Linked DNA regions of Struthio camelus. The protein of the gene in region 2 interacts with the protein of the main gene of each other region in a biochemical or structural test. Links are inferred from orthologs where the notes say so. Each region holds a gene or a part of one and is shown on either strand. Other genes may lie near its edges. The genes, in order: MCMBP and MCM5.

Region 1 (11,251 bases), on a different chromosome or scaffold from region 2:
CATTACTCACTTAAAGACTGACTCTCACCAATCATTTTATTATAAAAATAGCATTAGCTTAATTTTAAAACCGCCAATGAACAGTAGAGTTTTCTTAAATTCTAAACTCAAAATATGAAATATCTAAACACACTGGATTTATCAGCATTTCCTTTCTTTTTACAAAATGCAATGTATCTTAAGTTTTCTAGACCTCCACTTAGAGGCCTTAGAGAAGAGGAGAATATTTAACTCCTAAAAGGCATTAGAAGAAGCATGCCATATCCATTCCACTTAGACAATTCAGCTTCCATTTATTAGGAGAAACTAAAGCTGATTTGTTTTTCCCCAAGATGTTTTCCAAACTCATTTAGAAAATGACAGGCTGCATCTGAGCAATTAAAAAGACAATACTTAACGTTCAAGAATGACTCAACACACTCAGCTACAGGTCTTTTTACAGGTACTTGCATTAGACTGCCATTAAATAATGTCCTAATTTAATCTGAAAAGGCCAATGAAACATTCATGGCTCTACAGAAGTTTCAAATTTTCTAAACATTTGCAAATAGAAATAAGCAGCGATTTCCAAAACCCTCTCAAGCATACATGAAAATCTAGTTTGAAACCCTACCAAATCAATAATCAATTCCACTAAATTTATTTTTATCCTGTTTGTGCATACCACTAATTTTTTTGCCTTCTATTTTTCCTGCATCTACCACATTTCCTCCTCATCCGTCCCCAGTTACTCAGAATCTAAGAAACTTTAAATAGTCTTATCTATTTAAGAATCCAATGACTTAGCTGGTGGTGATAACTATTTGTATAACAGAGCATTGGCTCAGACAAAAGATATTTCTTTCACCCATGCTGATTCGCCAGGCACTGGAACGCAGTAGAATGTCTGTCTCTCCCATGTTACTGTTTGTGAGGAGTTCAAATCAATCTCCTGCTGAGGCTGGAATACCAAAAATAAATGATGTTAACAATCGATTTTTTTTAGCTAATTCCATAGAACCATGTATCTAGCCAGAAGTTACAACAGCCATCGTCTCACAAGTATGCGATCTTGCACGATTCCAAGGAGTCTGAATCTATAATGTTTTCACACTAATAGCACTGCACTACCAAAAATAAAGTGTTTGCCATATCAGGAAGTTTCAAGAGACTTAAAAAAACAAGCAAACAAAAAAACACTTCCACTAGCCTGCTTCTTGGCAAAGAATTAGTGGCCAAAACTAACGACCACAGATAACAGCATATAAAAGCAAAACAAGCTTTAAATACTACGGAAGTAGCTTGAAGACTGCTGAACTTAGCATGCACAGGAGCAATTAAGAGTTCTCTGCTTTCCAAACCTGGGCTTAATTTGGAATTTTAAGAACGGCATCTCCAGAGATTCACTGATGAGTGCCAAATAAATTATACTGCACTTATAAAAATGCATCTTTCTGTCTGAATAATATTTCATCTCGAAATCTGATATAGAAAACATATAACTTACCCCACATTCTGCCACGTCTCTGTATTTACCAAAATGCAAAACCTGTCAAGAAGACAAAAGCAACGCAATTATTCCGTTTCCAGTACATCCTGAATATGGACTACTTGCACCAAATTTATTGCAGTCTAAAAACCTTCAAAGACATACTGCTCAAACTTTCATTACCTTAGTAATTTTGATTCCCTCAAATTACATTTGCAATAATAACCTTCCGAATTTTGTTTTCAATACTTCATAAACAGAAATATACGAAGCAATACGTTACTGATGCCATTTGAGTTATTTAAATAGAGTTAATACTAGACAGTGCCTGGACTCCACAGGTTTAACTCAGAAAACTAGAGAAGCATGAAGAACGGAATGAAGAAAATGCTAAACATTTACCAAAACAGTATTTCACTTACACGCATGTTTGTGTTTGGATCAACTGTTTCATAGACTCCCATGTAAAACTCAGGATCAAACATATCTTGAACCATGCAGCGAAATTTCACTAAGCTGTTGGGCTTTAGGTAATGTAGGGGAACATCATTTAGTGACGGAACCTGAAAAAGAGAGCTTATTCTAAACAACTGCTATATAAATATTGAGAAATGCCCTGAAGTAAGCCAGAAACTGCACATAAGCTGTCACCAATTTATTCTCTGGTCATTCAGTGTTTCCTGCTGTTGACTTTATTTGCCTCAAAGCCTATTTTATTGACAATAAGATTAATTGCCTTTGACAATTCAGCATCTCATCACATAACAGATTCAGTATTTTCTGGGTACTTTTCTCCCCACACCTAGCCCCCAAATCTACTGCCCCAGTCCAAGAGGTAACAATATACCTGACACCACTGGAAGTTTCTGCAGTAGCTGTTAGAGGCAATAGTTACGATTATCATACACTGACAGTTCCCAAATTTTTCCAGTTGCAAAGCCATTAGTCTCATTCATTTCTCAGTTCCAATATCAGACTAAACAAACGGGTTTCAGTTCATTGAAACTGTATGTAAACTCTTTAACAACATATGAGATTGTAATGTTAGTTTGGGGATTATTTCAACTGAATATTAAGATAAAATTTATTACTTATTTTATTCCCATTTAACAACACTTTGACCATGCATCATGCATCAGTGATACTGCAGCAATTGCATGCACAATTTCTTATAACAAAATATTTGTATTTCCAAAAGGACAGGAAGAAAAATTGTATCTTAATCTGAAAGTCCTTCACACTGGGGGAGTTTGTTTTGCATATATTTATATGATAATAGAAAAGCAGAAGGAAAACGGGTGTCCAGGTATATAGTACAAATCAAAATAATGAGACCTGCTATAAGGTTGTTTTTTTTTTTGGTTTTTAAAATAAACTCTTGGTTAAGATATCACACTCAACGTTAAAATGACATGAAACCAAAAGTGGCCCTGTAAAAATGACTTAAACAAACAAAAAAACTAAACCAACAACAACTCACATACTCCCTCGTGTTCATCTTGAGTAAGAAAATATGTTTTTATTTTAATTCCTTCTACTGCTGCAAATTTAACACAGTTCTGCTGGAGGAACAGAATTATTCCTCTACACTATGATTTAAACTGTCCTTGACACTCAAACACAGAATTCCTCTCTCACTGGCAGAAAAATTAAAACAAAAAAAAAAAACAATTTTATTTGTATTTGTTTTTTTAAATCATAAATAGAACAGATTCGACACTGAGAGCTCCTAGTCCAACTAGGACAGAGCTCCACGACACCGTTTCCCCACAGCCCTTCAGAACAGCATCACCTTTTGAGCTCAAGCGTGCCTGCTTAGCTTTAAAAATAAAGGAGAGCTTCCTTCCTGCACTTTCAAAACCTGGCCTGATCCAGAACAGTTTTTAGGCAGATGGTATTTCCCCCCCGCCCCCGCTCTGCCTCAAAGACGAAAAACCAAGCAGCTGTTTCATCAGCCCCCAGGGAGGTCACGGCGCTGCACGGGCAGCCGCTGAGCGGAGGGGTGTCTGCCCAGCAGTCGGGACCCCGGCGCCGTACAAACCTCCGCCGCAGCACGGCGGCCACAAACCCCCGTTAGTTATCACGCTTTGAGGAAACACCAGCACTCATTAGTCAGCTCCCGCCATCTGCTGGGCGGCGCCACAAACAGGCGGCGCTCGGCGGCGACGGCCGAGGCCAAAAAAAAAAAAAAAAAAAAAAAAAACCCACACACCACCCGAAAGTCACGGGGAGTGGCTTGAGGCAGGATTTTACATCTTCGTTTTTACCTACCTACCTACCTACCAACGGAGACGTAAACAGCGCGTTACAAAGGCTAGGCCTAACATTCAGAAGCGCGCTTCCGAGGAACCCGGGGCCGAGCGCCCCTTTCCCGACGAAGGGCTGCTCCGAAGCCGGGCGCCACGGCCACCAGGAGGCAAGAAGGGCGAAACTTAGCACCGGCGCAACGCTCCCAGAATAAAAACCACCTTACCCAGTGAGTAGCGTTGTTTTCTTTCAGCTTCTCTCTGAAATATTCGGTCACCTTCCTCTCCCAGTCGGAGCTCGGATCATTTTGCGCTACGACACAACGCACGTTGACAGCGGCATCAGCATCTACCCGGCGTTCCCCTCACGCCGCAAGCCGTTTCAAACTCACCCCTTCCCTTCCCGCAGGAACGCCTTTCCCTGCCTAACCCTGCAGCCGCGGCGGGGCCGGGCCCCGAGCCGCCCCCACACCGCCCCCTCGCGCCTCAGGCGCCCGAGGCGGGAAGCCGCCGGCTGCCGCTGGCCGCCGCCCCAGGCCGGCCCGCCCGGCCTCTCACGGGCGCCTCCTGAGAGGGAACCGGCCCCGGCCCTCCCCCGCCGCCGCCCAGGCCGGCCCGCCCGGCCTCTCGCGGGCGCCTCCTGAGAGGGAACCGGCCCCGGCCCTCCCCCGCCGCCGCCCCAGGCCGGCCCGCCCGGCCTCTCACGGGCGCCTCCTGAGAGGGAACCGGCCCCGGCCCTCCCCCGCCGCCGCCCCAGGCCGGCCCGCCCGGCCTCTCACGGGCGCCTCCTGAGAGGGAACCGGCCCCGGCCCTCCCCCGCCGCCGCCCAGGCCGGCCCGCCCGGCCTCTCGCGGGCGCCTCCTGAGAGGGAACCGGCCCCGGCCCTCCCCCGCCGCCGCCCCAGGCCGGCCCGCCCGGCCTCTCGCGGGCGCCTCCTGAGAGGGAACCGGCCCCGGCCCTCCCCTGCCGCCGCCCCAGGCCGGCCCGCCCGGCCTCTCACGGGCGCCTCCTGAGAGGGAACCGGCCCCGGCCCTCCCCTGCCGCCGCCCCAGGCCGGCCCGCCCGGCCTCTCACGGGCGCCTCCTGAGAGGGAACCGGCCCCGGCCCTCCCCCGCCGCCGCCCAGGCCGGCCCGCCCGGCCTCTCACGGGCGCCTCCTGAGAGGGAACCGGCCCCGGCCCTCCCCTGCCGCCGCCCCAGGCCGGCCCGCCCGGCCTCTCACGGGCGCCTCCTGAGAGGGAACCGGCCCCGGCCCTCCCCCGCCGCCGCCCAGGCCGGCCCGCCCGGCCTCTCACGGGCGCCTCCTGAGAGGGAGCCGGCCCCCGGCCCGCCGCCGCTCACCGAAGATGCCCTGCACGATGCTGAAGGGGTTGTTGAGCCAGTCGGCTACACACGGCATGGCGGGGCGAGCCTCGCCCAGGGACGGGGCGGGGGGGGGCCGCTGCCAACTCCCCCGCGTCAGTGACGGGGCCTCGCACCCTGCTGCCGCTGCTGCTGCTGCCGCCGACACTCTCCCGCCCGCAAGCCTTGCACAGGGGCGCCCGGCTTCCGCCTTCCTCCTCCTCCTCTTCCTCTGACGGCGGCCGCGGCAATGGCGGCGGCACCAGGGCAGGGAAGAGCAGGGCTGGGCCAGGCCCGCCCCGCCCGCTTTCTCCTCCTCCTCCTCCTCTCCGCGCCCGTGCGCGGAACGGGGCGGGGGGGGGGGGAGCGCGTCGCCGCTACCGCCATGTTGGAAGCGGGCAGCGGTGAGGGCGGAAGGGGCCGGGCCGCCGCGAGGGAAGAGACGTGGAAGCAGCGCAGCCATGGCGGCGGCCAAGCCCGGGGCCGGTGGTGGCGGCACCAACCTGCTCTTCTCCTCCTCCGCCACCGAGTTCAACTTCACGGTGCCCTTCATCCCGGTCAGCCAGGCCCCAGCCGGGCCGCCGGACTCCGCTGTCCTCTCGGCGGGTACGGGGGCGCTGGGGGCCGAGGGGTGGCGGGGCGGCCGCCGGCGCGGGGGAGCGGGCTGTGGGCCCGGCGGGGGCCGGGGGCCGGGCGGGGGGAGCCTTCCGGAGGCCCCGAGGTGCGGGGCGGCCGCTGCGCTCCGTGGCCGGGCTCGGGGCGGGGGAGGGGACAGAGAGGCGATTCCTCTTTTTTCTTTCTTTTTCTTTTTTTTTGTTCTTTGCTTGTGTTGCGCAACTGTGTTTGGATCCGCCGGTCCTGCTGTCCGCCGAGCAACAAACAGGAAGGTGGGCTTCCTTCCTCACGCTGGCTCGACCCTTCCCTAGCGAGGGCCGAGTTTTTTGTTTGGCTGTAGTCGCTTTGCTGTGAGGTTTTCTGAGCTGGTTTTCACTGGCAGCTGTTGGAGTTGGTGCTTTAGGGAAGACAGGCTCCTTCAGGTATGCTGTTTTCATGCATGGGCTTGATACTGAAGTGTTCGGTTTTAGTGCTGTGTCTGAAGAGAGGGGGAGAGGCTTTATCGTGTGTCCAGTTAACAGGTTAGCATTCTTGTTTGAGCAATTAATTTTGTTTTGATGCTTCTGTGCAGAGGACTATTTAATATAGCCTCACGGTAAAGAAGTTTGTCCTTCGTGTTCAGACAGTGCTTCCTGCATTGCATTTTTTTTAAAGTGGCATTTACTTCAGTTTTGTAGGATAAATAGTCTTCAGAGGACTCTCTGACGTTGTCTTTTTTTTCCCTGCCTGAAAATAGTATGCTAAGCAGGTACCTCAAATTTCCTTGTTTGCTTAGGCTAGGTGATTAATATCACTTCCTTGCAAAGCCTGGATGGTACGTCAAACCTATGTACGTACAACTTAAAACTGAAGCTCAGATGACTTCAGATACAGGAACAGATTTTTTGGAAGTGTGTTCTGTCTAAGATTAAAAGCCCTAAACAGTAAAAATGCATCTAGAAATCAAGTATTTTTAAGCTTCACAGGACTGGCACATATTGAGTCCAGAATTCAAGAGCTGATTTCAACAGTGCTGTATTTTACTTAGGATAAGTGTTAATATGCCTGGAAACAAATGAAGTAAATCCTTGTAATTTTAAAAACATGTTTGTTAAGTATGGCTTAGAAACACTTTTTCATTTTTATTCTTTAAATATCTACTGAACTGCCTTTTTGAGTAGTGTAAAGTACTAGAATATCGCTCCTACCTGTGTGAGGTATCTAGGCAGCTGATACATGCACCACTTCCACTTGTGCAATCCTTATAGTTCTTGTTGCCGCTATACAATGTTTTTCATTTAAAAAATAGTTATTAAGTAGCTTTGCAGAGATGGCTTTCCTGTGTCAGCTTCCTCTATGACTTTGAAGCTAGCTATGGAGAAGACCTGAGGATGAGATTTCAATAACAAAATTTATGATCGAACATGTAGTCTCTATCTCACTTAAGCTGGTCAGATGAAGATTCGTAGTTTTTCACAGAATGGATGAGGTTGGAAGGGACCTCAGGCAGGGTCACCTAGAACATATTGCACAGGGTTGTGTCCAGACGGCTTTTGAGTATCTCCAGGGAAGGAGACTCCACCACCTCCATGGGCAACCTGCTCCAGTGCTCTGTCAGCCTCACAGCAAAGGAGTTTTTCCTTCGTGTTCAGACGAAGGGTTTCAGTGTGTGCCCGTTGCCTCTCGTCCTGTCGCTGGGCACCGCGGAGAAGAGGCTGGCCCCATCCTCCTGGCACCCTCCCTTCAGATACTTGTACGCGTTGATCAGATTCCCCCCTGAGTCTTCTCTTCTGCAGGCTGAACGGGCCCGGCTCTCTCAGCCTTTCCTCGCAGGAGAGATGCTCCAGTCCCTTAATAATGTGTCTCCTGGTCTGACTGCAGTAGCTCCGTGTCTCTCTTGTGTTGGGGAGCCCAGAACTGGACAGAGTGCTCCAGATGCAGCCTCACTGTGGCTGGGTAGACTTAGACCGGAATGTGTTGTTTCTCATAGCTGGTAACGCCAAAAAGAAAGGGGCAGGGAGATACTAGAAGAAGAAGGGGAGGAAAGCTGAGGGCAGGTAGAGGAAATGAAGAAGCATGATTAAGGAGGGGAACTGAGACTGGGCAATGAGAAAGAGGATGGAGTATGTTGACTGGGTAACAGTAGAGCGAAAGGAGAACAGAATGTCTAGAAGGCACATTGCAGAGAGATGCTCCAGTCCCTTAAACGTCTTAGTAGCCCTCTGCTGGACTCGCTGCAGTAGTTCCATGTCTCTCTTGTGTTGGGGAGCCCAGATCTGGACAGAGTGCTCCAGATGTGGCCTCACCAGGGCTGAGAATCAACTGGAACCAATTTCAATGCCAAAGGTCTCCTGCTGAGGATGTGCCACACATTGTATCTATCCAAGTAGGGCCTCAATCCTGTTAAGTGTTCTGCTTTTGTGGTCCCTTGCCTTCCCTAATTCCCTAATGGGAATAGGGATTTACCTGTAGAGAGTAGTTTGCTCCTTGAACCCTAATTTGAACCAAGGAAAAGCAAGCCATTGAGCTTGAATCCTAAATGGTGTAAAATGTAATGGAAACTGGTCTCGGGAATTGCTTCTGACATCCACGTCTGGAAGATTTGTGCACTGATAAATCTGTTATATCTCTAAAAGTGAGTAAGGAGTGTTTTGTGCTTTGCAGTTTGATGAGAAAAGAGGTATTCTCAGGCTCTAATGCAAATGAAGTAACCAATATACTTTAAATAGAGAAGAGTACTCCTGATGAGAAGGTGGAAATCTGTCACTTGTGATTGTCAGAGGATGATCTGTGAATGAGAAGGTGATGTCTGTGAGGGATACAGAAGGTTGTCATACATTTGTTTTGGGAGAACTTTAGTCAACTCCCTGTTTTTCAGGGGAACATGCTGTTACACTTAATCTCCCCGAACTAGTCGAAACTGAAGAATAGTAGGTGTTTTGTGCACAGGCATTTGGTAAAGGCCTTGACTCGTTTTTTTAGATTATGATTAACACGTAGCAGTGCACTGAAATTGCCATGAGATGTATTACCTCTTCTACTCCTGGGCATTCTGGAAAGTGGAGACCTGACTGTGTGGTATGCGATACGCTGCTCTTTATTCCATGATGTCTATCAAATATGAAAGGAGAATATTTAGAAACAAAGACCATAGTATAAGTGGCTATTCTTCTGTTTGGAAGGTAATTCACATGCCTGAGTTTATAATGGTCATTACTTATAAATGAAATTTAGTGTTCTCCACAAGATCGTTTGCATGCATAGGTTTGATGTTTTGTTCCTCAAAATAGAATATAACACACCAAGCATCATCTGCATTGGCCAGTTGACACCATCTGAAAGGGCAACTGAATAAAAGCAGATGGTTAAAATGGTCTTAGTGATGGCAGCTATTTGTTTTCCATTTAATGAACTAGAACAGCAGCTTCCTAGTTTGAGTTCTCTGTGCATTCCCCTATTCTCCCTTGATACTCTAGCTGTTTCGGCTGCAGATAAAGACATTTGTTATTGACTGCTTGTGGCTGCAGGGATGTTTAGTTTGTTTCTTTGGCTAATGACTGAGTAGCAGAGAAGCAATGATCGTTCTTCGAAGCAATTTCTTCCCCACAGTCTGGGGATTATTTAACTGCTAGAGTAGATGAGAGCACTTTTATGACTTCTGTAAATTGTGTTGGCTGCTCAGAAGAGGCTGTTCCCTCAGCAGGTGGGTGGCGATGCTCAGATCGTCCCAGGTTCAATTGAGCTTACTGTGAGACCTATAATAATGTCAAACCGCTTGGTTGTCGCTTGTTACTGGATCATTGCAAAGCAGAAAACTCTACTTGACCGGGACCTGGTTTTATATACTTCCCCTTTTGATGCAAAAGGGCAGGCATATGGCATTGCACCTTTTAGGCCCTCTCCTGGAATTATTGCAGTTACTTGTTTTCCTCTGGACCAGAAATGTAGCTCTTGTGCCACTCTAGAATAAGATATATAGACAGAACTGAAATAAACTGTGCTTTTCTAATGACATGGGTTGTTGTGTTTTTGCCACCTTGCAAGTCAAATGGGGAATCTTGAGAGGGCCCTTCTGAAGGGGGAGATGAGAACGCACTGCTTAACCAGTAGATGTGGCCTATTGGGGAATCTTCTTAAGCTCCTCTGAATTTGATCTTGGAAGCTTAAAAAATTGGAAGGTGAAGTGCTTAGAGGCTGTTTTCATGGTGAAAGGAAGTCGACTAAGGATCTTTTTGCACCTGGTAGGCATAAGGGGGAATTGAAAGGGATTCCAGTGTCCTGGAAGCAGGGTTCTTTGCTACGTTGGCTTGGGAAGGTCCTAACTTCAGCTGTGTACTGCTGAGCCTTCAGTTGTGCTGAGGCAGCAGTTTATGACACTGCACTGTGAAATGAGGTCAATGAGTTAAAATGCTGTTTGTTTTGAGGCTTATCTCTTAACAACAGTCTTTTCAGTGATCTCCTCTGTGTTGTGCTCCCATAAATAGTTCTAGAAGCATATCTTTCAGGAGAGTGAACCCATGCCTTGTAAGTGGGAACCTTTTTCCCTCCAAAAGAAACATAAGAGCTGTGGTTGCTGAGGATGTTACCACCTAGAGCTGTCTGTTTTACTTTTGCTGCACAAGTAAGCACTTGATTTCAGCATTTTAAGGCAAACTGCAACCAATTTCAGTTTACCAAACGTATACTGTAAATTGCGGTGTTGCAGAGCTGAGCAGGACTGAGCACTAGAGACAAGCATTGGAGCTGACTCAAGGAAAGGAATGGGACCCTGGCTAAGCGCAAGGAGGAAGGGAAGGGCAAAATCCTATTTTTAGGACAGAAATACTGTTGATTTGGCTGTGCCAATTTGCAGAGCCTCGCTCCACAAGATGGTCTTCTCCTCATGGTATACAACTTAGCATCTCTTCAGAAAAAAGTAATTGTTAGCTCTCACAGTTTCATAAGAGAGCAAATAGGTGGAAAGGGAGTTCAAATGTACACAGTGGGTGGTGTAAGAAGCTCATTATATTTTTTGCCTTGCAGTGGAATGCTTCTTATTTCCAGTTCTTAACTTTTGTTGCGTTGTCCATGTACGCTGAGTTTTATGCTCCGTTTTAAATGTTCCTGAAGACTTGGTATCTTTTGTTGCACTTTATGGCACATTCAATTTTTAAGGATGTGATTTGTAAGCTTTAATACTTTTGGCTTTATCAGGACTAATAGTTTCGGAAATAGTTCATAATGTTACAGAACATCTTTGACTGTGTGTACTCAGTAGTTCAAACCTCTCAGGACTTCTCTGGTAATTTACCTTCCTCTCTTACCCCTAGATGATTCTGCAGATGTTGGCGAAGAGGACAGCTTCTTGGGTCAGACTTCTGCCAGCCCTAATGCACCACAGACTTTCAGCTATTTCTCTCAAGTACCTAGCAGCAGTGATCCGTTTGGAAGCATTGGGCAGCCACCCTTAGCAGCTGTTTCAGCACCTGTCGGAGTACCTGCCTTCCCCAAGCCTCAGCACTCTCTTCCACCTGTGTCTGGGTCGCAAGATGGGCAAAATGCCTTTTCCCCGCATATTCCCAAGTCACAGTCCTCCTACAGTGCACCACCTACTTCACAGGTGG
Region 2 (11,745 bases):
CATGGAGGAAAAGTCATATAGGACTCCTGATGAGTACACAGGAGCCAGGGCAAGCCAGCCCCCCCGGACTAGCTTGTAGCTTTTGCTATATGTGCGATAGAGAAGGACTCAGGTTGTGATTTTGTAGTCCTCGTTGAAGGACTTCCTTGTTCAGAAACAGGGCTTTCCTAACACCACGCTACCAACACAAGCCAGGCAGGAACCAAAACCAGCCCTCACCTGAGCCTTCCACATCCACCTGGATGCCTACGACACGGATGTAAGCGCTTCGGATGCCCACACCCACGTTGTCACGGCTTTTGTTCTTGCTCTGGGCAGACTTCTTGATGGAATAGATGCCCATAATAGTAACTCTGTTCCCTGGGACAACTTTGTCGCACAGGTACCTAAGAAGAGGAAGGAGAAAGCAAAGGATGACAGGGAGGAAAAGGACAGCACCAGCAACACCTTTTATCCCCTCTCTTGCCAACCCCCGAAAAGTTTCAAGGCCCAACACTCAGCAGTAGGGGCTGTCAAAAGGGGAGACCTGGCCGGGACTAACTCAAGAAATATCAAGGGAGCCAATTTATGGCTGTTGAACTTGCTCACTGAGGCTCCCATATGAGACCAAAGTAACTTCACCAGCAGGAAGCCATATTGTCCAGGCCTGCTGAGCAATCTCAGCCACCAGCTGCATGAGGATGTAAGCAGAGGCTGCCAGGAGCAACAATGCAACATCACTCTGAGATGGAGCAACTTATCTATAGACCGGCCCATGTCTTTCCCAAAACAGAGGAGCAGCATTCCAGGGAGTCACTGTCACCCCTCATGTCTGAGAGCTGCTTCCTAAACTGCTTGGTTCCCAAGGTATGTGGCATGGCTCATGGCCACAAAAAATTTGGCTCTGAAAATCATAGGAGGAAGAGGCTGGCCAGCCATCCCCAGGACGTGGCAGCTATTAAAACATTGCGGCGCTGCTGTGAGGTAACCTCACAGGTACAGAGGTGTGTACAAATCTGTTTTTGAGCAGTCTTGTGCAATGCTCCTAAGGATTGATGCAGAAAAGGCCACAATATCCATTTCAACTCAGATAACTTCTTGCCAGGGAAGAGTTGAATCCAGTACCAGCTGTCTGAAATGCCCTGTGGGGTGGTGGGACAGGGGACTTGCTGTTACCTGTCACAGTACAGCTGCATGTGCCGGGGCATCTCCCCATGAGGCACAGCGTCTGGAGACTCTTGGAGCTTCAGGACCTGGAAGTCCACACACTTGCATTTATCTGGCATAATGAAATACGGGTCCAGCGGGCACTTGGGGCGGCCAGCCTGTTCTCTGTACAGAGATCAATCAGGGAAATTAGCTGAATGCCAGGACTCAGAAGACACCACCTCAAAGCCCCTTTTGCATAGGCAGGAGTGGTCTCACACCCCAGAACAGCCCACCCTCCCCAATAGTACCAAGCAAGCCAGAAGAGCAGTCATACAGGCCAGACGAAAGGTTCACCTGACCCTGTATCTTGTATTCAACAGTTGCCAAAGGCAGGTGTTAAGGTCAAGCTATTAGAACAAGCCAAACACAGTGATATTTCCCCTGAATACCCTTTCAGCCTCCTCCCTCTTCCCTGCTAGATAAAACCAAAGAGGAAGGTAATTCAGTAATTGCACAGAAGGTAACAGTATAGACTCAATGACCTGACAGAGCATTTTTCTTTATAACTTGGTGCACGAAGCAAATGTTAAGTGGTTTCTGTTGAGAAAGCAATTAGCAATGTGACAAGACTGTCATCAACCTCTTAGTCTCTCGAGACACTGGCTCTACATATCTGCCTTGCTATACTACAAGCTCTTTGAGACAAGAAGCACCTCCACATCCTGCTGGCTTCTCAGTACATTATTACTGGTGCCTGAACGCATGCAGGCAGCGATAGGCTTTCAGGGAGGATAATATGACAAGGAAAAATCTCATGAACGTCAGCCCCATTCAAGATAGGAGGAGAGGCGGCTGCACTACAAATGCGCAGACGCACTTCTGCAGTCAAGCTTCGGGAACTAGGTGCTCTACAGACTAAATACAAGAATGATTCTCATCCCAAAGATCCCTCAAGCTGTGTTTAAGATGAGACACAGGAAAATACTAGCAGACACGAGATCACACAATCCATCAGAATCAGCCAGCACGAGAGCACTGCAGCACCATGGCAGCCTAATGCTCGTGGTTCACACAGGCATCACGAGCTATAGAGAGGGGTTTGCAAAGTACTATTAGTTAGTAGCAAAGTGCTATTACAGAAGTTTATGAAAAAAGCAATCTGAGCAGAGGCAACTGGGAGGCAAGAAGTTTGCTTGAAAAAAATAACAACTTAATAGGAAGTTAGGATAGCAACTTAAAACAGTATTACAGGACAACTGGAGGCAGGAGTGAACCTTTAGGTACCTGACAACAGGGGAAAGCAAGGTAAGGCAGCAGCCAGCTTAGAAAGTGAAGACAAACAATCCTCATAACAAGAAACTCTAACACAGACAGACTCAGTGGAGAAAGAAGGCAAGAGCCAATGCACAGAGAAACCTAGAAGGTGGACCTCCAGACAGCCATAGAAAGTGCTTCAGTGAGCCCATGGTAAGAAGCCAGCGCAAAAGTCTGACAGGCAAGAGGATTTTTTGTTTGACTTTGTTTTGTTTATTAATAAAAGACAAAATGCAAGAGTGAAAAGAGTGAGGGACAGATGAGAGTTTGAGGAGGTAAGAAGAAAATCTTCTGTGTCTGCAGCAATAGGGAAGAGCAGACGCTGAAAGCAATGGAAATGCAGGTCTAGAGGAAGAAGCTTTTTCAACCAGCTTTTTCAACCCCGCTTGCAACAGTGGTCACAGAACATCCATGATCAAGGTTACTCCTAGATGAACAGAGCTAAAAGCTACTGGCCAAGGATGGGTGCAGGCACTAGGGCAACTGGAAGGTAGAGGCTCAGAGCGGTGCAGACACTTCCACCTTGTGGGACAGGTTGCTGACTCCATGCAGCATGCATGGGATGAAGGGGAAGAAGACGACAGAGTCTTTTGTCCCACTACCCTGGCAGATTCATCTCCATTCCAGTCCTTACGTGTTGCATTTCCTGGGCAGGGCATAACCTTCCAAGCCTGGGCGCACAGCAATGTTGCTGATGGTGTTACGGCAGCTGCGGCACTGGATAGCTATTTTGGTGGCTTTGGCTCTCACAGGTGTTGCTGCAATTATAATCCCAGGGATCTTCACAAGGTGGGACATCTGGTCAGACTGAAAGGGAAAAGGTGAAGGGAAGGTGAGAAAGCACATTGCTGGAAGACTGACAAGAAATTTAACCATGATACAAGATGTTAAAGAAACATGGGGGTACCAGAATAAAAGAAGTTTACACTTCTTGACAACTCCATACTCTTGCTCTATAGTAGCAGGGGAAGGTCGCATGGCTTTAACTACTCTGCCTTCAAAGCAAGAGAGGTAAGAGGATAAAACACTACACCTAGAACACCCCTAACAGCAGTAACGTCCCCAAAGCAGGAACCAATCAAAATAACCCTGTGCAGTCAGATGTAAGACGCATTATATTCCTGTGCGTAAATTAGTGAACAACTCGTGTCCTGAAGTAAATAATCAAGTACTTAAAGTTCCCTCAGCAATCCCTCCCTCTCACGAGCAAGCCCTGCCACCTGTTTCTCCACAGAGCAGCTAGATTCACCTCACCTTCAAACTGCGGATGTTGGCTGCATTGGCATCTGATCTCAGCATGACCTGGATGTCTTGCAGAGTTTCTTCACCTGAAGGACGAGGACGGGTGACCTCATCTGCAACTTCTTTTGCTGCTTCTTCCAACTACAAAGGGAATAACTAGGCTATTACTGACATACTACAGTGTAATATCAGGACTGCTCTCGTTACATGACTGAATGTCAGCGCACCAGATCTCCCATTCCCTCCATCCTTACCAGCTGAAGGTGCTCCGCTGGTTGCTTGTACAGATAGTCAGCAAGATCTTCATCAAAGCTGGCTAAGTCTTCCATCTCCACCTCAATCCAATACTGACCCAGGTTATAGTGCCGTTTAAGCTCATCCCTGCAAGGCAGTAGGTAGTAAATGCTTGCAGAGCAGAAAGCACTAATCTTAACAAACGTGTCCAGCCACCATTCCACAATGACCCTGTCACTAAACAGGGAGAAGAGAAGGCAGGTTCTGCATGGAGTCCTTAGTTTGGAAAATTGGGAAATTCCCAATTTCCTTAAATTGGGAAAATAGGGAGAGCTCTAAGAGAAGCCAAGGGGGTCCTGGGCAAATCTTTCATCCAAATACTCTCTGAAATGTGACACAAGACCAGGAACACTAGTGCTTGCAGTGACAGTGTAAATTTAGTGCTAATACTTTAATTCTAGAATCACAATATCAGATGTGCAATTCAGGAACTCCTATACAGAATGTCTATTGTACCTAAACTGCGATTCTAAAAAACAGGATGTAATAGCATAGCAGGCAATATTCCCCTTATAAAAACTAGGGTGCAAGAAATTCAGACATGAAAGGTGAAAGATTTCCCTGACCCTTGCATGATATGTCTCCATCTTCTCTCTCCGTAGTCTCTCCAAGTTGCATAGGCAAAATGATAGCCAAGGGACCTTCAGAGCCTCAGAGGGCATAAGCGAACAGTGCTTTACCAATTTTAATACTCCCGATCAGACCAAAACTCTGGACCAGGAAGCACTAAAACTTGAAAACAGACCTTGAAATTCTGATCTAAGTGCAAGTTCGACGATGCAGATCCCGCTATTCCTACCTCTGCCACTGTAGACCAGACTACCGCCTAAGAATTTGGGAGAATGCCAAACCTCAGTTTTCCCATAAGCTCAAATGGGAACAATGTCATTTCTTATCTTAACAAAGAGCTCTTCGGGGTCTACAGGAAGGAAACAAGCTAAAATACGCTACTGTATCCTTTTGACTTACATAGCAGAAGGCAGGTTAAGAGCGGATTGGACGTGCAAGGAGGAGTGAGTGAGTAAGGCTACAGAGAGAGAAGAGCGGTTGCTACAAGTCACAGCAGCACCTGTATTTGAAGGTGAAGCCTGTCCGGTCCGTGCCCACCCGGTACTGCCGTAGAAACTCCTTGAACCGTTTCTGCAGCTGGGACTTCCGAATCTGCCCTTCATCGGCCGACACGTCACCCCCAAAACTGTCGCTGTAGTAAATACCGGGGTCGTCGAAGCCGGACATGGCAACCACGATTCACTGAAGGGGTGGGAAGACACGGTCAGCCCCCTGCCCGCCTCTTCCTCCCCCCAAATGTCTCAGGGGGTCCCCACCCTCCGGTGCCTTCCCTGCTACACCGCGGTCCCGCAGCCCCTGCCCCATCCATGACTCCATTACTCCTCCCAACCTGCCCACCCCCCCCAAAAAACTCTCCCCACCCCCACCCCGCGCTGCTCTCCCTGCCCCACCGACTGCGCCAATAACCCCCCAAACTGCCCCCTCGCCCCCGCCCGCGGGACGGACCCCAGACCCGGAGCGGCTGGTGCTGGGACAACCGCAACTCGTCCGTCCCCCCCCCCCGCCGCCCGGCTCCGCACCTCGCCGCTCCCCGGGAACCGGCCCGCCACTTTTCGCGGCAAAAGCAGCGCGCGGCGCTAACAAACCGGACACACGCCCCCTCCCAAGCGCGCCGCTGCTGCACGCTCCTAATTGGCCCGCCCGCAGCGCGCCGCCCCGGATTGGCCCTGGCCGTCCTTTCCCTCGCCGCCCCGCCCCCTTCGGCCCAGGCCGCCGCCGCAGCCGAGCGCTCCGCCCCCTTTCGGCCGGGCGCATTTGGCGCGAAAACTGGGAGAGAAAGGGAGGGGAAAAGGGGAGGAAAATGGCGGATCGGGCGGGACTATTGCAGGCGGCGCGGGGGAAGGGGGGGGGAAGGCGGGCGAAACCATAGCTGCCGGGGAGGGGGGGAGAGAGCGCCTAGAGGCGAGGCTGGCGGGGCGGGTCCCTGCGTGCCGTGAGTCGAGTGACGACGTTAATGGACACGAATAAAATAAAGCGGCGATTATCGCAAGGCTGGAGGCGGAGGCAGGGAAAACCTTGGGTTGTCTAGCCTTCCTGCCTGCCTAGATGCTCGTTGCTGACAGGCGTTGGCAGGAGGTGTTCAGCTGAGGGCCTGGCAGCTCTTCACCCTGCTTGGCGCTCCAGGTGTTGGCCCCGGGCCAACCCCCCCCCCCCAAACATGGAGGGGGGTGCAGTTTAATGGGGCTACAGCTGCCTCTGAAGCCCATCGGGTCAGTGGCAGCCTTTAGTGTCCTTGGGCAGCGCTGGGGTCACCTCTGACGCCCGCAGAGTGGGGATAACAGAGATCTGTGGGGATTAGTTAGCGTTCATACAATGTTTAATCAATGCTAATTTGCCCAGAGAGGCTGTGGAGTCTCCGTCCTTGGAGATACTCAAAACCAGCTGGACACGGTCCTGGGTAACCTGCTGTAGGTGACCCTGCTTCAGCAGGGGGCTGGACCAGACGGTTCCTGCCAGCCCCAACTGTTTTGCAGTTCTGAAGTGACAGGTACCATAGGCCAGATGAGGAGCACTCTACTGAGCCGCGAGAGGTGCCTCCGAGCGCGTTCAGAGCCCTTTCTGCAAAGATTGTATGGGCCAGATTTGTTTTTGTGCTCCTGCCTTTTGGGGCAGCTCTTCTGGGATGCAACCTGCCCTCGAGCTCTGACATCGGGACAGGGGGATGAGGGCTAGTCCTTAGTTCAGGTGACAGGTCCATAAAAGGGAGAGAGGGGAGGGGAGGGGAAGGGAGGGGTCATGTGCTTTGGACATGAGTCATGTCCAAGTCACTCCATTTGGCAAGGAGTCATCCTTGCTTTGGGACATACTGGAAAAGGGAATGGCAGGTGGTTGGACTGCCCAGAGTCCCATAGGGAAGACAGTACTTACACAGCAAGCCAAATACGCATATAAACAGACTGTTTTTTTAGGATACGTTTCCTCTGGGATGTTTTTCTGCTAACTACTACTGAATTTTTGGGGAAAGCTGACTTGTCATTGGGAAACCATTATAGCTCCTAGAAAGTGGGGTACTGCACATATCAAATGAAAACCAGAGCTGGGAAGCATAGTGTGTTGCAAGGGAGATTTTAACAGCACCGGGTGGAAATCTTGTCAGCTGTAGCTATGCTGTAGGGAAGCCAGATATTTTCATAGAGCTTATAGATTAGTACAAAGCAAAGTTTTAGCGTTCACCTCTGAAGACTTGCTTTAGCTCAGTCTGGCATCCTTCTGTGTGTGGTACGGCAGTGGCTGTGAGATAACTCAGAGCATGATACTCTTCTGCTATGAACAGGAAGGGGGATGGTGTCAGTTTGAATCCAAGTTTCTTAACTTTGAGGTCACAGCTATGGTCTCTGAGGGCAGCAGAGCGGGGGGCTGATTGTGCTAGAGTGCATTTTCTGAGCTCTTGGGCATTTGTTTGCATGTTTGGGAGGTTTATTTATTCAGCATGGTTGAATGAACATAATGATTTAGTTGGGGTGGCTTAGAGAGACTGAGTAGGTGGAACTTAAAATAAATTTGAACGAATGAAATGAGTTATAGGATTTGAATAGCTGTCAAGCCTAATATCCCTGCTTTTCACACATTTGACTCTCTTTTTAACAATTAACTTGTTTTCTCTTTTTCTGGGGATCGGTGAATGGGTCCAAATAGAGAAGCATTAAAAGAGATTTTACAAGAAAAATAGGATAGACAAGAGCCTGATGATAATGACAGTCTCTCTTTCTCACTGTTTATTCTCTGTAGGACCTGCCTTCTGATTCTTGCTCTTTGAGTAGGTTAAGTGCTGATCATTAATACAGATCAGTAGCAATAAATGCCTTTGGGATTAAGGCTACAGCCAGAACAGGCAGCATCATGAAGACAGGTTGATCACAGAGGCTCCTCAGGTAGAAAGGGGGGAAGGGACTCTGAGCTGAAAGGTAATGGCCTTGTCAGTATCTGCTCTGTTACACTCAAGATGCAGCCGCTCCTGCAGTTAACTTCTGTATTAGAAGACCTTCATAAGCAGATAAGGCCTATGGCCATAACAGCAGCTGGCCGCACCTCCAGTTTTGAGTGAGCAAAAGGGGAAAACAGAAAGCTGTACACATGGACTGCTCCAGCACTGCTACTTATTTGTACTGTCTTTAGGAACTCCTTGTACATGCCAAATTCTGGCAGTAAGCTGGCTTGGTTTGATTGTTACCTAGTTGAGGACATGCAGTTACATGCTTGATGTCTCTGGTTTTGATGTCTTGTAGGATGAAAAGCTAGTATGTATTTTGTTTGTGAGGGGTGAGAACATACTTCTTTTTCTGGTTCATGGTGATGTTCTCAGAAAGGCACTATGATTAACAGCACCTGGCCCTTAGCTGCTACAGGGCAGGGGCAACAGCCCTAGTTTAGACCAGCCAGGAGCCCAGTCACCTTTTTCCTTTTAATAGAATAGCAGCTAACTCTTAGGTCTAGCTTCTACCTCTTAAAGATACTTTGTACAGTCACAGAATTTCATTCAATTTCTGGAAATAGAGACCATTATGAAGCTTAAGAAACCTGACTGAGCTTGTACAACAAGTTATTGTTAGAACAGAGTGGGAACAGAGTCTGGTTCTGGTAACTCCCACTTTTGTCTATTGTCATATCTGTGGAGGCAGCAGCTCCAACAGACATAAAATTGAGAGGCAGAAAGGCACCTCCATTCTCCCTGGATATGGCTTTAACAATAGGAAACACCAGGCCTGAAGATTTTACGTTAATGTTTATTTTATATATATATATAAATTATATAACAAGACAAAAGATCAACACTGTATCTTCAACAACTGTGTTCTGCTTTTTAAAAACCAAAAGTGATTGGAAAAAGATTTAACCTACTAGTGTCATATAAAACAGTCTATAACCCAGAGGAACCATGTGGCTCCACAGAAATAGTGATCACAGTATCAGCTAGCCATATAAAATATTGAGCAAACAGGGCTCCGGGGAGCTTTTTCTTTCTGAGGCAAAACATGATGTCAAACCTGCGTTTCTGATTTTGTAGGATTTTTGCAGGAGTTCTATAAAACAATGACAATTCCTGGCCACTGCTTTTAGGCCTTTTCTGCCCTTATGTTCTGGTGATAAATTTAGTCTCTGGCATAGCTCACACCAAGCACAGGAGAGACTTTGCCTGAACCCCCTTAGCACTCTCTTTGCTTTCTGGGGAGAGAAGCCTCCTAATGTTAGTGACAGAGCCAAGATCACAGCACCCAGCCAAGGAGAATTTCTCTCAGAAGGCCTGGGGAAGATGGATTAGTTCAGGGTGAGGGAAGGCATGAAGAGAAGGTGACGGTTCTATTTGTTCACATGGCAAATAAGCCCACGGCGACTGTTGTGGCTAGGAAGCTGAGTGCAAGGATCCACCGCACAAGGGGAGTGGTGGGTAGCATTTCTGTGTGTCTCATATTTGTCTTCTCTCTTTCTTTCCCAGGCCCTGGACCTAGATTAAATAGAAAAAAAGTGGGTGAGATCAGGATGAGGCAAGAGGCTGCCAGTATGCCATGCTAGCCCTCCACAGTGATGGAGCTGACCCTGGCGCAGTTGTTACGGGGAAAAGGAGAGATCCCAGAGCCCAGTGAGGCTGGGGAAAGAGCGACAGCAGATTCTGCTCTGTCAGAGCAGGCGAAGAAGGGAAGCAGCAGACTTGACCTGGGAATCCCAAGGGCTCACAACACCTCTGCTTGTACTTGAATACTGGCATCTTCCCTTGTCTCCTTACTGGCCTATAAATACCCTGCCCAGATCCTGAAGAGACTCCTTCAAACCTCTGATGTGTCCAGAAGACAGTTAAATGGTTAAACCAGAATTTTAAAGGCATTTTGTCCCCTAACTCCCCATGATTTAATCAGTTAGACATTTTACGACTTTAACGGGTAGTCCTTAACACTGCAGACAAATAATTGTCTTAGAGCAATTTTAGAATGGGACTTCTCACCCAACACTGAGCTTTTTAGAAAATCCTACCTGTATGGGTTTATTGAGAAAAGAGCAGCAAACATTTGCAGAGAAGTTCTGCTACTCTGCCTGAAGAAGTTGCTCTAAGCTTCACTCTCTAGAGGTGCACAAAACAAGGAGAATTTGCATTCTTTGCCTTGGGAAACTGGTTCAGCTCAGTATGCAGTGAACAATCTCCCTTTTAGTTTCAGAACGTGTGGCTCATAAGATGTGATTTGAATAAGAAAGCTCTTATCAGGGAAGCCACTTTCCTCCGTAGCCATCTGAGCCCTATCCAAACTCAGTCACAAGTCTGACTTCATAAAAAGAGATCGCTTTGCCAGCAGCAGCTGGATTGGCTTTGCAGAAAGGGCCCTTGCACAGGATCTTCCCTTTTGCCAGTAGATGGAGCCTTTTCAGTTCTGCAGAGTTGAACTGGAGCCTGTACAGCTCCACTTCTGAGCTGTACATTTCACCACACATTCGCATTTCATGCTGATTTTAAACATAGCACATTTTCATTGCTTCCAGGAACTATTTTCAGTAAATACTTCTGGAAGGCATGAAAACGACCGCAGGAAGATTTAGTCCAAAAGGACAGGCTCTTGGATAAGGTTGCATGTCTCCAAGAACCTTCTACCAGCATCACAGTGTCACAGCTAATGTGCTAGGCCAGGAACTGCAGCTTTTCCTTTGTGAACTCAAGGCCAGGTTCCCCTTTGATTGAAACTTATGTGGCTAACGAACCTTACACTTGTTAAAACTTGAGAGAGAGAGGGTAGTCTCTTCCTGTAAAACTTTCTCAGGGACACTATTCATGGAGAGCCCAAATGTCTCATCCCTGCTTTGCCATGTCTGGAAGCAGCTTCACACACACCAGGGCCCCTTCTTGCACTATATACTGACTGCCGGTGAAGAGATGAGGCAAGTACCTCATGCTCATGTCTCAGTGGCTTGTACAAGCAAGAACACAGGAAGGGGGGAAAAGAAAAGCACATGGGGCAACTTTAAACAACTGCTTTTAGAAATCTCTTACCATGTTCATGTGATTTGTTAGCGTTCCTTGCGCGAAGCTCTGCCTTCAGCTGCACAGGATGACCGTTCTCCTGGCCCTTAGACACCAGCTCCTGCAGTGCCTCAAACACCTGAAAAGAATGCACACTGTCTCATTACGTGGACTTCTTCTTTCGCTGGACCCCTTTGCGCTAGGCACTTCAGAACTAGAGGAAGCCACAAATCTTCAGTCCAGTTGTGCCCCTCCTGGTACTGCTGCCTGTTCTGCACAGAACATAATCTGCCTGAGGGGTCAAGAGAGTATCTTTCAAACTCCTTGTTCACTTTGCAGGTTCTGTCTGAGGCTTCCAGCTCAAGAGAAGGCCCATCTTCTGATAGGAAGGAAAGCAAGGTATGTGTGTATCTAGTCAGCATTCACAGAGGAGCTGTAGAGCTTTATTGGGAGGTGGGGCAGGTAGACAGTGATCCCTACTCCCAGCATAAAGCCTTGTTTATATCTGAACAATAGCACAAGAAAGAGCCTGAATTCAAACCCTAGGGGAGGGAGAAGGATCTTTCAGAGACTGATTGTTCATTAGGCTCCCAGGTAAGACACGTGGAGATTTCTAACTCTGACTAGCTTGCCCTAACCCATAGCTTGCTTTGAGCTCCATAGCAGAAATACCAGCTTTGCCTTTCCCCAGTAGCTGTTATCTTGTTTGAGAGAGGGTGTGGGCAGACAGGGCTAGCCAGTAGTTACTCACTTGT

The links.
Region 1: the proteins of MCM5 (region 2) and MCMBP form a complex in vitro, tested with the Homo sapiens proteins (2 studies listed by BioGRID). The link is inferred for Struthio camelus from reciprocal best matches to the Homo sapiens genes MCM5 and MCMBP.

Annotation. Positions count from the first base shown.
Region 1 is NC_090948.1:6,957,931-6,969,181, reverse strand, and holds the start of MCMBP (mini-chromosome maintenance complex-binding protein), read right to left. Parts: upstream 5,113-11,251; coding exon 5,055-5,112; intron 4,028-5,054; coding exon 3,942-4,027; intron 2,032-3,941; coding exon 1,871-2,031; intron 1,529-1,870; coding exon 1,487-1,528; intron 1-1,486. Other genes in the region: SEC23IP (SEC23-interacting protein), read left to right, coding at 5,516-5,660, 10,958-11,251. UniProt on the Homo sapiens protein: Associated component of the MCM complex that acts as a regulator of DNA replication.
Region 2 is NC_090942.1:59,820,804-59,832,548, forward strand, and holds the start of MCM5 (DNA replication licensing factor MCM5), read right to left. Parts: upstream 5,750-11,745; 5' UTR 5,568-5,749; exon of another isoform or gene 5,494-5,567; intron 5,230-5,493; 5' UTR 5,215-5,229; coding exon 5,048-5,214; intron 4,066-5,047; coding exon 3,939-4,065; intron 3,826-3,938; coding exon 3,697-3,825; intron 3,250-3,696; coding exon 3,077-3,249; intron 1,312-3,076; coding exon 1,156-1,311; intron 387-1,155; coding exon 220-386; intron 1-219. Other genes in the region: HMOX1 (heme oxygenase 1), read right to left, coding at 9,354-9,490, 11,021-11,129, 11,742-11,745. UniProt on the Homo sapiens protein: Acts as a component of the MCM2-7 complex (MCM complex) which is the replicative helicase essential for 'once per cell cycle' DNA replication initiation and elongation in eukaryotic cells.